Linked DNA regions of Daphnia pulex. The main gene of each other region encodes a partner of the protein of the gene in region 3 in a complex. Links are inferred from orthologs where the notes say so. Each region holds a gene or a part of one and is shown on either strand. Other genes may lie near its edges.

What was found.
Region 1: nuclear pore complex protein Nup160-like (region 3) and nuclear pore complex protein Nup214-like share a complex: the UniProt entries of both Drosophila melanogaster proteins name them as parts of the nuclear pore complex. The link is inferred for Daphnia pulex from reciprocal best matches to the Drosophila melanogaster genes Nup160 and Nup214.
Region 2: nuclear pore complex protein Nup160-like (region 3) and nuclear pore complex protein Nup85-like share a complex: the UniProt entries of both Drosophila melanogaster proteins name them as parts of the nuclear pore complex. The link is inferred for Daphnia pulex from reciprocal best matches to the Drosophila melanogaster genes Nup160 and Nup75.

The regions. Positions count from the first base shown.
Region 1 is NC_060027.1:5,448,455-5,452,210, reverse strand, and holds the start of nuclear pore complex protein Nup214-like, read left to right. Parts: upstream 1-913; 5' UTR 914-1,065; coding exon 1,066-1,098; intron 1,099-1,163; coding exon 1,164-1,502; intron 1,503-1,559; coding exon 1,560-1,750; intron 1,751-1,808; coding exon 1,809-2,117; intron 2,118-2,173; coding exon 2,174-3,377; intron 3,378-3,443; coding exon 3,444-3,571; intron 3,572-3,625; coding exon 3,626-3,756. UniProt on the Drosophila melanogaster protein: Part of the nuclear pore complex. Serves as a docking site in the receptor-mediated import of substrates across the nuclear pore complex including emb, RanGAP and phosphorylated Mad. Protects mbo/Nup88 from proteasomal degradation at the nuclear pore.
Region 2 is NC_060023.1:4,665,654-4,669,409, reverse strand, and holds the start of nuclear pore complex protein Nup85-like, read right to left. Parts: upstream 2,231-3,756; 5' UTR 2,089-2,230; coding exon 2,074-2,088; intron 2,012-2,073; coding exon 1,903-2,011; intron 1,846-1,902; coding exon 1,259-1,845; intron 1,189-1,258; coding exon 1,066-1,188; intron 953-1,065; coding exon 734-952; intron 607-733; coding exon 1-606. Other genes in the region: rRNA methyltransferase 2, mitochondrial-like, read left to right, coding at 2,463-2,623, 2,731-2,870, 2,939-2,987, 3,052-3,169, 3,241-3,501; nuclear protein localization protein 4 homolog, read right to left, coding at 3,646-3,756. UniProt on the Drosophila melanogaster protein: Component of the nuclear pore complex (NPC) that seems to be required for NPC assembly and maintenance. Required for nuclear import of phosphorylated Mad via importin msk.
Region 3 is NC_060017.1:6,357,186-6,360,163, reverse strand, and holds the end of nuclear pore complex protein Nup160-like, read left to right. Parts: coding exon 1-83; intron 84-152; coding exon 153-405; intron 406-472; coding exon 473-830; intron 831-892; coding exon 893-1,162; intron 1,163-1,229; coding exon 1,230-1,560; intron 1,561-1,630; coding exon 1,631-1,962; intron 1,963-2,035; coding exon 2,036-2,203; intron 2,204-2,282; coding exon 2,283-2,372; 3' UTR 2,373-2,453; downstream 2,454-2,978. UniProt on the Drosophila melanogaster protein: Functions as a component of the nuclear pore complex (NPC). Involved in poly(A)+ RNA transport. Required for nuclear import of Mad. May play a role in double strand break DNA repair. Essential for nephrocyte development.

The DNA.
Region 1 (3,756 bases), on a different chromosome or scaffold from region 3:
TCCATATCTCCGGCTTATCCGAACTACCAAGTAAATATCATATCCTGGCTTCTTGCTATAATTGATACAAATAAAGAAATAAAAGTTTTAAATAAACGATTAGTCAGAGTTTACTAGCAGTAATCTTTTTTCTCCCTGCGTCGCTTAAAAATGAATTTATGCGCTACGGCCGTATGGCGTCGCTGTGTCGCTGTTTCTGAATCTGATCAAATTAAACCAATAATTGTTTATTTGAATAGAAAATTTAAAAAAAAATAATTCCATCTTTTGCGGACTGATAAAGAAAAGGGATCGAGATGAATGAACTACACACAGGTTGGGATGAGGAAGTGAGTCGGATCTAAAGTTTGTCCTAGTTGGATATTCTTTGTCTAATTATGCTAGACTAAGGTTACATGAATTATCATCCAATTGAATCTCTTGAAAAATAATAATGTCCAATCGAGCCAGATTTGAGCAGACCGACCAGAATGTGTAGCCTAATAGATAAGGTGCCAGTTTATCTTACTTATAGATGTTAAGTTATTTAGAAGTTAAGTTAAGTTAATTTTGTTTGTTAATTAGTTCAAAGAGAGACTATTTGCCGTATAAAGAGACCGTGCACCACGATCAGATTTATCGTATATTATATAGTCCCTATTTGTAAATTTATTCCTCGAATATGATTCGTTTGATCGAATGTTTATTGTTTAATCGTTTTGAACAGGGTTTTCAATGAACCAAGTTGATGAAAATATTGTATCTTGCAATTTGGTTGACGTATCACGTAAGCCTTCCCTTTTGAATATCTTAACTCCACTATAGCCCCAAAAGTGATCAGAATTGGAAACACTACCCCTCAGCCCCTACCCTTTCAAAAAAAAGAACCGCGAGTTATTACAATTTAAAAAAATTCAAATTGCTTTGATAGATGGCGTTCACTTGTCACAAGCAGACAGGCAGTGAGGCACTCAAACAGTTAGACATTTCATAAAATTTCGACCGGCTTTGGCTTTGCAACAAAATAAGGTTGAAAGTGCGGTGTGATTTTCTATCCGAATATTACATTGATTATTGAAACTGATAATGGCAAACGTTCCTGATCCTGTTGAAGTCTTGGTAATTTTAAAATACATTTTTTTATTGTTTTCTTTCAATTCAACCAATCTAACTTGTAACAACAGGACTTCAAAATGAAACAGCTGTGTAAGTTTAGAGTCACTAAAAAGGAATATGATGTACAGGACACCACATCATTGCTGGCTACTTCTAATTTGTTTGGTCTGATCTTTGTTGGGACACCTGACAAACTTGTTGTCATCAAAGTTTCAGATCTTATACAAATTGACAATACAACATCAAAAAAATCAGAAATATCATCATTTCCCATCAAGGAAATTCTTTTACCCAACAAACCTAGTTTTGTAACACTGAGCTCTGATAATCTTACCTTAATGGTGTGCCTTCAAAAATCTGGATGCTCAGTAGGTTGGATGTATGATGTTCGTGGATTTGCAAGACAGGTATGATTTAAGGAATTTCATTTTGTGTGATTGAAACAGATTTAAAATCTTTTTCAGTCAGGTGAATGGAATCCCTTCCAGGAAGTCAGGCTTTCGTCTACTGATGGAGTTACTGTGAAAGATTGTGCGTGGAACCCTGTTATACCAACTCTAGTAGCTGTCTGTCTTAGTGATGGCTCTTTAGTTGCAGTGGAGATCAACAACACTCAATTCACTATAAATAGCCTTCCATCAAGTACAGGAGCCCAGTATGTGAATATCCTATTTTGTATGTATGTTATTTTCTTAATTTTATTGAATTATTAGGTCAGTCTGTTGGAGTCCCAAAGGAAAACAGCTAGTTGTGGCCAGGCCTAGTAAACTAGTTCAGTATAAGCCTGATTTAAAGGAAGCCAAGACTATAGCGTTTAGTGGTAGCGATGTCCATATGACTCAGCCAATGGTTTGTGGACTTCAGTGGCTTTCTACAACTCAGTTCCTTGTAACGTTTGTTGATCAAAATGAACCCAATTCTCGTCCCCACCTCTACATAGTCAACGTACAAAAATCGGGGGCAACAACTTTCATAGATTATGACGATGTTTGCTACGGAAGTCCGTCTGAAAGACCACACAGGTATACGAATTTTTTTCATTTTATTATCAATATAATGAATTTTGTTTCTTTTTTAGTTATCTAACATTGAGTTTATCCCCATGGAATGTGTTATTGGCTTGTTCAGCTAACGCAATAGAAGTTGCCGTACTAGCTCAAACAGGAGCTGGAGATGCTGATCACCCTGAATGGAGGCAATGGGCACTAGAAGGTGAATGGCGAGCTGAACTACCATTAAATGAGAATGCTGAGACTAACCCGTTGGGAATGGCCATCGATACCACTAGCCAAATTCCAATCAGTTGGGATGACAATCAAACTTTACCGCCCGCACCCATTCTTTTCATACTCAGCACTCATGGTCTGCTTTGCCCGTTTCATGTTATCAATCTAAAGAACGGTGCTGCCAAATTCAATCAGGCTCCTCAAGAATTGTCGGTCACTGGTGAGAGACCAGCGCTTAGTGGAATTGGTCTCAAGGCGGCTCCATTAGCAGCTTCCACTCCATTACCTGCTGCTGGTAAAATTGCATTTCCTAGAACAAATCTTGGAGAACGATTTGCTGCATTTGCGGATGCTCCTTCCTTAGCAGTCCCAGTTACAACGAAATTACCTTCAAATCCGCCTATTTCGGACTCGTTTTTGGGCAACAAACCCCAACTTCAACCTGCCTTACCTTCAGTGACGAAAGTTGCAACTGCACCTGTTGTACCAGCTGTGAAGATAGAAGCGGTTCCGGTTGTCCCGAAAGCTACTCCACTTACTGTCAAACTTACAAGTCAAACTCCAATCGCAGATGAATCTAACATCCATTCATCCATGGGCGCTGCCGCTGCAATATTACGTGACGAAGTGGCCAAATTCGTTCAAGACTTGAAGGAATTCAAAGCTCGTTCGTTGACTTTGAAAGTTACGATCGCGAGTGATGAGGAGAAAGAACGATTGTTAAAGATGACATCCGATCTGGCTGAGTTTGGTGTGGATCTGGTCGATACTACCAAAGTGCAAGACGAAGAAGTTCGAGGCTTGTGCACTGATTTGGTAGAAGTTGCCGCCCTTTTGGAAGATGCCCGTGTTCGACGTGCTCGTCGCAAAAATTCTCATTTCTGTCATTTGCTCAAGTTACGGCCTCTAGATCCAGGCAATCGCAGAAAAATGGACGGCATTGAGCGCTTGCACGTTCACATAGAACAGCAGCTTATAGAAGCTTCACGAAGCCTAGATTCGATTAGCAGAGACCGTACTAGAGACACCCGCAAAATTGAAATCCCAATAACTCAGGTAAGCTTGTTTTATTATTATTATTACTCTAAAATATTCAGCATCCTATGATTTATTTCATCTCAGGTTATTTATGAAGCAATTAGAAACAATACGAAAGTAATATCACAGTTAAAATCTCGTGTTGAACGAATTATGGTTCAGAGCAAAGAACAGCAACTGAAACTCGCCGGTGCAGCCTTCGAAGCTTTAAGGTATTTGCCATTCATAAATTCACTTAATTATTGAATTAATTGTGTGTTCTGTAGACCAAAGAGTGGTGATGAGTCAAGAAAATGGGAGTCTGAACTGGCTGTTCTGGCTGATTCTCTTTTGTCGTCAAGTATAAGAGGAGAAGGGGAAACTCAATCACACCATCCTGTGATCCCACAAGTATCAC
Region 2 (3,756 bases), on a different chromosome or scaffold from region 3:
GATCAAAAGGCCAGCTGCTGAATGAAAATCGTTTGAATTGTAAAGACGATGAAACTCGCGATATTTCCCAAGGAAAGCCAATCGATCGCTGGCAAGAAGTCCAGCACCCAGTGAGTCTAGCAAGTCCGTCGAAGTAAAATCTGAATCTTGAAGGTAACTCTTCAGAACAGCATCGGCGGCATAGGTAGCAAGAGGAGCGTCTTGCGCCTTAACAGCCCAAGCGACTGCCGCACCAAGTCGTCCATTGGCCAAGGCCCGTCGACCCATTACACGACAGACGGAAGTTACCACTGATGTTAGTTTTCTTCGCTCGGCAAGTGAAATTATTTTGGTTGCCTTCATTTCCGACTGGCACGGAAGTCGAGTGAGCAAGTGTTCCAGAGTCGCAGAACCAACATTAGGGCAATGGTCAAGATAGAGAACACCAACCGACCACAAGGATTGGTGGCTAAATAAGCAAATCGAGTAGTCACGAAGCAAAGTTTCTCTCAGCTGTAGTGAGTTAATGTCTTCGAACGACTGAAGTGCTCCGGCGTGATACAATAAATCAGCGAGATGTGCCGTAAACCAAGAATTATCCAATACTCCTTGCATTTCTCCAATCACCTGTGACAACAAATTTGAACAGATATAAAACGTTTCCAGTTAATTATGTTGGTAGTGTCTTGATACTTGCATGAACTCTTATCAAACTTGCTTAAAACTCTTATCCATTGATAACAGCGATACTCACTTTACGCGTGTCGCGACGAAGAACGGCCAAAAGTGTTGCATCTAGTGACGTCAAATCATCTAATCCGATTAAGGAAGCAAAAAACTGTTCGGCTTCATCTCCCAAAGATAACGTTCCAATTGTGGGTTGCGTGAACGTTAACTGAGTAATCATTCGTTGATACCAAGTTTCGAAATGATCGCCAACTTTTTCAAATGCTTCTTCTTTGCCACATAGTATCTTTATCGTAAGTAAATAGAAAGTTTATGTAAGTTAGACAAAAGACATACAACATAAACTAATGAAAATAAAAATGGGAATTAAGAGATCATTATATATAAAACATTATATACCTCCATTAGAAGTTCTAAATCTTTTGATTCGAAGAAATCTCCAGCTTGAGTGCGAGCCTCACATTCTTCTTTCCAATGATTCCATCTGAAGGTAAACTCTGGAGCAGAAACAGTTGAGTTGGCCTAAATAGAACAGAAATACTTAGGAGATAGAAAAATTGTTAATCTATCTAAATTACAAGAACTTTCTTACACTAAAGACTGGCATTTTCTTCAGCAACTCATATGCACTCTGAAAAGCTTCACTCTGGAAATCAGGATGAATTCTTAACAGTTTGGTAGCACTTTCTAAGCGTAACTGAAACACTAGTCCATAGAGAGCTTTCCAATAGCTTTCATGGAGTCCAGGATTTGGTGATGCTAAAACTGTACCAGTTTCTTCTACTGCATTTGGAAAATGAATACGAATCCATTCTAATAGGTGTGGCAGAATTCCAAGTGGGTTCTCAAGATACAGAATTTCACACAAATTCCACACCAACTCAGCTTTGTAAAATATTTCACTCATTTCTTGAAGTGCTTGATTAGATTCAACACTGTTAGCAAGATCTGCTGCTTGGTTCAAATCTTCAATGCATGCATTCATTATACAACGATACTGATGACTGGATTTAATTAACTCAGATGAGCTGATTTGGCCATCTGTGCCAGCCTTAATTTGTAAAGAAGTAAATGCTCCACAGGATTCATTGACCAGCTTGCGAACAAAAGGATTGTACAAGGTTCGCTCCCAAGAAATTGTATAAAGCTTCTTCTTACAAGTCTGGGGACTAACTGGACCTGTCATTGAGAAAAACTTAGTAGGAGTTTTTTGGCTAACTTCCAGAAAGAACTTACCAGAGGTGATCGACTTGGAAAATTCTGTTGGAAATACAGCCAAGCTGTTACCATAACCCCAAGAATGCCCAACATCTTTGTTGTATGCAAATAGAGGATCTTGTATTCCCTAAAACAAAGAAAGTTTGGTTACAAATATGTATACCATGAACAATTCGAAATTATTATTACAATAGGTTCAAGCATTCTGTAAAATGCGTGAAAATCACGTCACAAATCGTAATTGTGTGTAGGATTCAGAAGGATTTCAACTAACAGTCAGAACTCGTAACGAGTACTTTTTTGAAATATTTCTAATCTGTCGTCTGCTGCTTCGGTTTTACACCATACTGCAATGGCCATGGTTACGGCGGTAACTATGACCTGTGCTGCCGAATGTCGATAGCGGAAATTTCAATTTTCGTGGCTGCTTGTTTGTTGACAAAATATCATAGTCTACTTGATCTTATTAGGTGATGTTATATTGCTGTTTCATTAATACTTTCAAGTTGTTTATCGCTTTTCACCTGAAGAATTTATTTGATCCATATTAAAATATCCGTTTCAACAAAGTTTTTGCTATGAACATTGCCGTTTGTTCAGTAAGACAGTTTTGTTCGTCTTCAACATGCTTTAAAAAAGTGCCCGATCGGCTAAAGGGCCGCAGTAAAAGTTCTCAAGAATGGCTAACTCGGCAAATGAATGACGAGTATGTTCTTAAAGCCAAAATGGAAAATTATAGGTAGTAATTTTCAAATAAAAATTATGATTTCAATATTTTCAATTAACAGGCTATAGCTTCAGTTTAATTGTTGTCTAATATTTACTACTTCTTATTAACCAAGAAAGAGCTAGAAGTGCCTTTAAATTGATTGAAATTGATGACAAACACAAATTCCTTAAACCTGGAGATGTGGTTGTAGAATGTGGCGCTGCACCTGGTGCTTGGACACAAGTATGTGTAAAACGAATTAATGCAACAGGAAAAGGTAGATTGAATTGTTTAACTATTTAGCCTAATTAAAATGACACTAGAATGTTTATGGATTTCATGCAGTGTCTTCTCAGCTTAAAGGAAAGCATGTAGCAGTTGATCTTCAACCAATGTAAAAGGGCTGCAAAGTTTTGGTACCCTTAGTTCACTAACATTATTCAATTTTATTCTTTCAGGTACCCAATTGAAGGAGCTGTAATCTTGGCTCCATTAGATTTCACAAAAAGTTTGTCCCAGACCAGAATAACAGAAATACTTGGTGGGCAACTTGCTAATGCAGTCCTAAGTGATATGGTAGGGCTGATTTTATTTCAGTTTTTTTTTACCTTAAATTATTTCAATTAATATTTGCTAATTAAATTTAGGCTCCTGCAGCATCGGGTATACGAGATTTGGATCAAGATAGGATATTAGAATTAGCATATTCAGTGCTGCGTTACGCGCAACAAATCTCTATGGACGGAGCTACGCTATTGATAAAATTATGGGCAGGAGGAAGAATCAAACAACTGGAGAATGAGATTGCATTACACTATTCTCAAGTCAAAGTTGTGAAACCACCTAGTAGTAGACAGGATTCAGCTGAAATGTTTATACTAGCTAGTAATTTCAAGAAAAATACATAGTAATTATTTAACTACTTACTTTGCTTTATTCACATTGAAGTCTACTGAAATTTTGCTTCATCCATGTATTCAATTCACCTTAGTTACATCACTGACTCTAAGCACACTTTTAACAGTTTGATTGGCCGGTGACAATTTTTAAATTTAGTGTGGCAAATTGCAAATCTCACACGAAGATAAATTAGGCATATTGATGAAAGTGCAGTGAAGACAGGTCCAGGATTTGCCAGCGGCATCTCCGGTAGCACCTTCTTC
Region 3 (2,978 bases):
CCAAACGGTTTCCAATTCCCTCACCGAACAAAATATTCGCACAATGGCTTTGTTGGGATTCAAAAAATCTCAAGAGTCTTACGGTAAGTTTGAAAACATCTAAATTTCCCATTTTTCCAAATTGAAATAATACTGATTAAACAATTCCATAGCGACTTTGCCGTGCAAGAGCTTGGTTGAACTCTTCCTATCCTTGGATGGAGGTCAAGCTGTACGAGAAATGGTCCTGCAGGAAGAAGATGCTGCTGAATGGACGTCCTCTTGGTTAGATGTTTTCCCACACTTTATGAAAGCCATTGGCCAGCTGCTTTGGCCCATTGGAAATCACATGACTTTCATGGAATTTCTGATGGAACGCTTCCAACCCTTGGCCGTACAGGGATACGTCCGCCTGCAACAGAACTGGTTTGTAAATATTGTACTTCAATATTAGATGCGTTTATTGATTTTTTTAAATGCAAATTCCGCCCAGGTGTGAATGGAATACGTGCTCTCGAAAATTTCTGATGGCTGTCGCACTTGTGGCTACCGGTGAAGGAGATAAAGCCAGTAAGTGGATGCTTGAAGCTGCTGAAGGAATCATCAAAGAACAACTTCTTCACTCGATTGTCACAAAGGGAGCGAATGAAAGTGGTGACGCTGGAAGTCGTGCTGATCCGGTGATGCGCTTTCATCTCATATGCGTCCAATTGTTAGAGCAGGCGGGACTATGCAGTGCTGCTCTTCGTGTGGCTCTTGTAGCCCTAAACAGTAGTAAAACGGACGACCCCCTTTTGCCTACAATATGGTCGATTGTTGCCAAGCTTCATTTGAACTTGGGCCACTATCAGGTAATAAATCAAACGCATTTTATCAGATTTCACGCCCTTACGTATCCATTCACTGCTAATAGGAAGCATACGAAGCCATCGTAAATAATCCGGATAGCAGTCAGCGACCTGAAACTCTTGGACGTCTGGTCAATATTTTGCTGGAACGCAAGCAGATGGATATTCTTTTAACTTTCCCTTACGCCGGATTGGAATCAGAATTGGAAAAAATTGTGGAGAGAAGGGCTCGCTCATCAGATGTTCTATCTATGACGCTTTATTACTCCTTTCTCTATGCATTTCACGTCCGCCAGGGTAAAATGCGCAAAGCTGCCGCTGTGATGCACGAACAGGTAATGTGTACTATCAACCACTTTAGGCCTTGGATCACCGTTACTGATGTAATTTGTTTCATTAAAGGCACTTCGATATGGATGTGAAGGAGAGTCAGCCAAAATGGTCAAATGTCTTTTGGCTTGTCTCAACGCCCTGCGCCTAGTCTCTAGACAGGAAGCCTGGTTGGTTAAACCAGTAACTACGTTGAATCGTAAGGATTCATCAGAACCGTTTAGACATACGGTTGACGTCATCGAGTATGCTGATATTGAAAAAGAATATGAACTCAGCTACGCTTGTATCAATCTTGGACAGTCAATCACATCTCTTTCTCCTTCGGACGTGGTAGCGCTTTTGACTTCACGCAACCGCTACGAATCGGCACTGCGCATTGCCAGGATCTTTGACGTCAAAGGTATTTTTTATTATTGTTATTACCTTGTCAGAAGTACATTAAGCATGTTTTTCTGCTTGTGTGACTTAAGATACGTCTCCGGTCGTGGAACACTTGGCCGCCAATTGCGTGGCCCTATCGAGAGAACGGGCCAACGAGGATGAAGCCTGGATTTGGTTGTCTCTGAATCAATCGTCTGGAGTAGGCAAGGCTTCAGAGCAAGCCTGGCGGTTATTAGAGAGGATCCTACCAAAAGCAGAAGGAGGGGACAAGCAAACCCGCTGTCATCGTGCAGCGGCCAAAAAAATCCTCGGTTTAGATTGCACCTTGCCTTATTGGTTGGCCGCCAGCTACAAATTGAGGAATCCAGGAGAACTTATCAGCATCTATCATCAAGCAGGGCTTTTAGAAGATGCAGCTCAGGTATTTATAGTTTTTATTGGAATTATTTTAAATAAATATAGATTTAACGGATTCTTTGCCTGACTTTTAATAGGTAGCTCTAGAATTGATGGATGCGATGCTGGGAAAAGGGAAGGAGTACTTTGGATTCGACAGCAACCCGCTCCAGATCAACGCACCTCCTGTATGGATGCCTTACACAGTTTTCGATCGTTTAATCATGGAATTGGAAGCCAACTGTAATGATTCTACCTATAAATCGGTAAATGCTTGTTTGTTTATTTTTTTCTTCTACCTATTATTTATTGAATGTTAATTCATTTTTATGTTTTGACTTTCAGTTACTGAATGACATGAAAGGCAAATTGCACGCTTACTTCCAAACAGCTGAACGTGTTAGTCGCTCTTTTGTCGAGTTATCCATGTCTTAGCTTTCTTTCTTTTTTTATTAATAAAACCCTGAATTTTGTATTACCATTTCAACTGTGTAATAAATACTGAGATTTCCTCGACTTGGAAAGAATGAAAAAAAATTAACAGTAATTTTCCTTGTAAATATTTTGCGGAAGGTTGTCAGCAAACAAACATTTGTTTGTTTCCTCGACCATGACGCTGACGCAAAAGAATTGGACAGATTTTGTTATTTCACTCAAATTGTAAGTTGAACAACGTCATTTTTTTTACATCCAGTTTTGTATGGTTAGTCCTCAGTCATTTAATCAATTAATCAAATATTTCACCTGATTTTAAAAAGAAATTGTTGGTTTGAATCATTATTAGCGTAGCCTCTTATTAATTTCTATAAAAGATGAATTCAAAATTAATGACAATATCATAGACATTTTATCAAATGCAAAAGTAGTTTGACTAATGTGATTTTTAAAATCTGTGAGATTCTAACGGTTAATGGTTAACCTAACTGTTCCCTTGAGAAAGTAGGCGATTAAGTATGGCGACCTGGAAGTGTCTCGACCCGGAAGACCTTGTCCGTATGTCCCGTATAGCGGAGGGGTAGCAGGTCAGAATTTTTTACTATT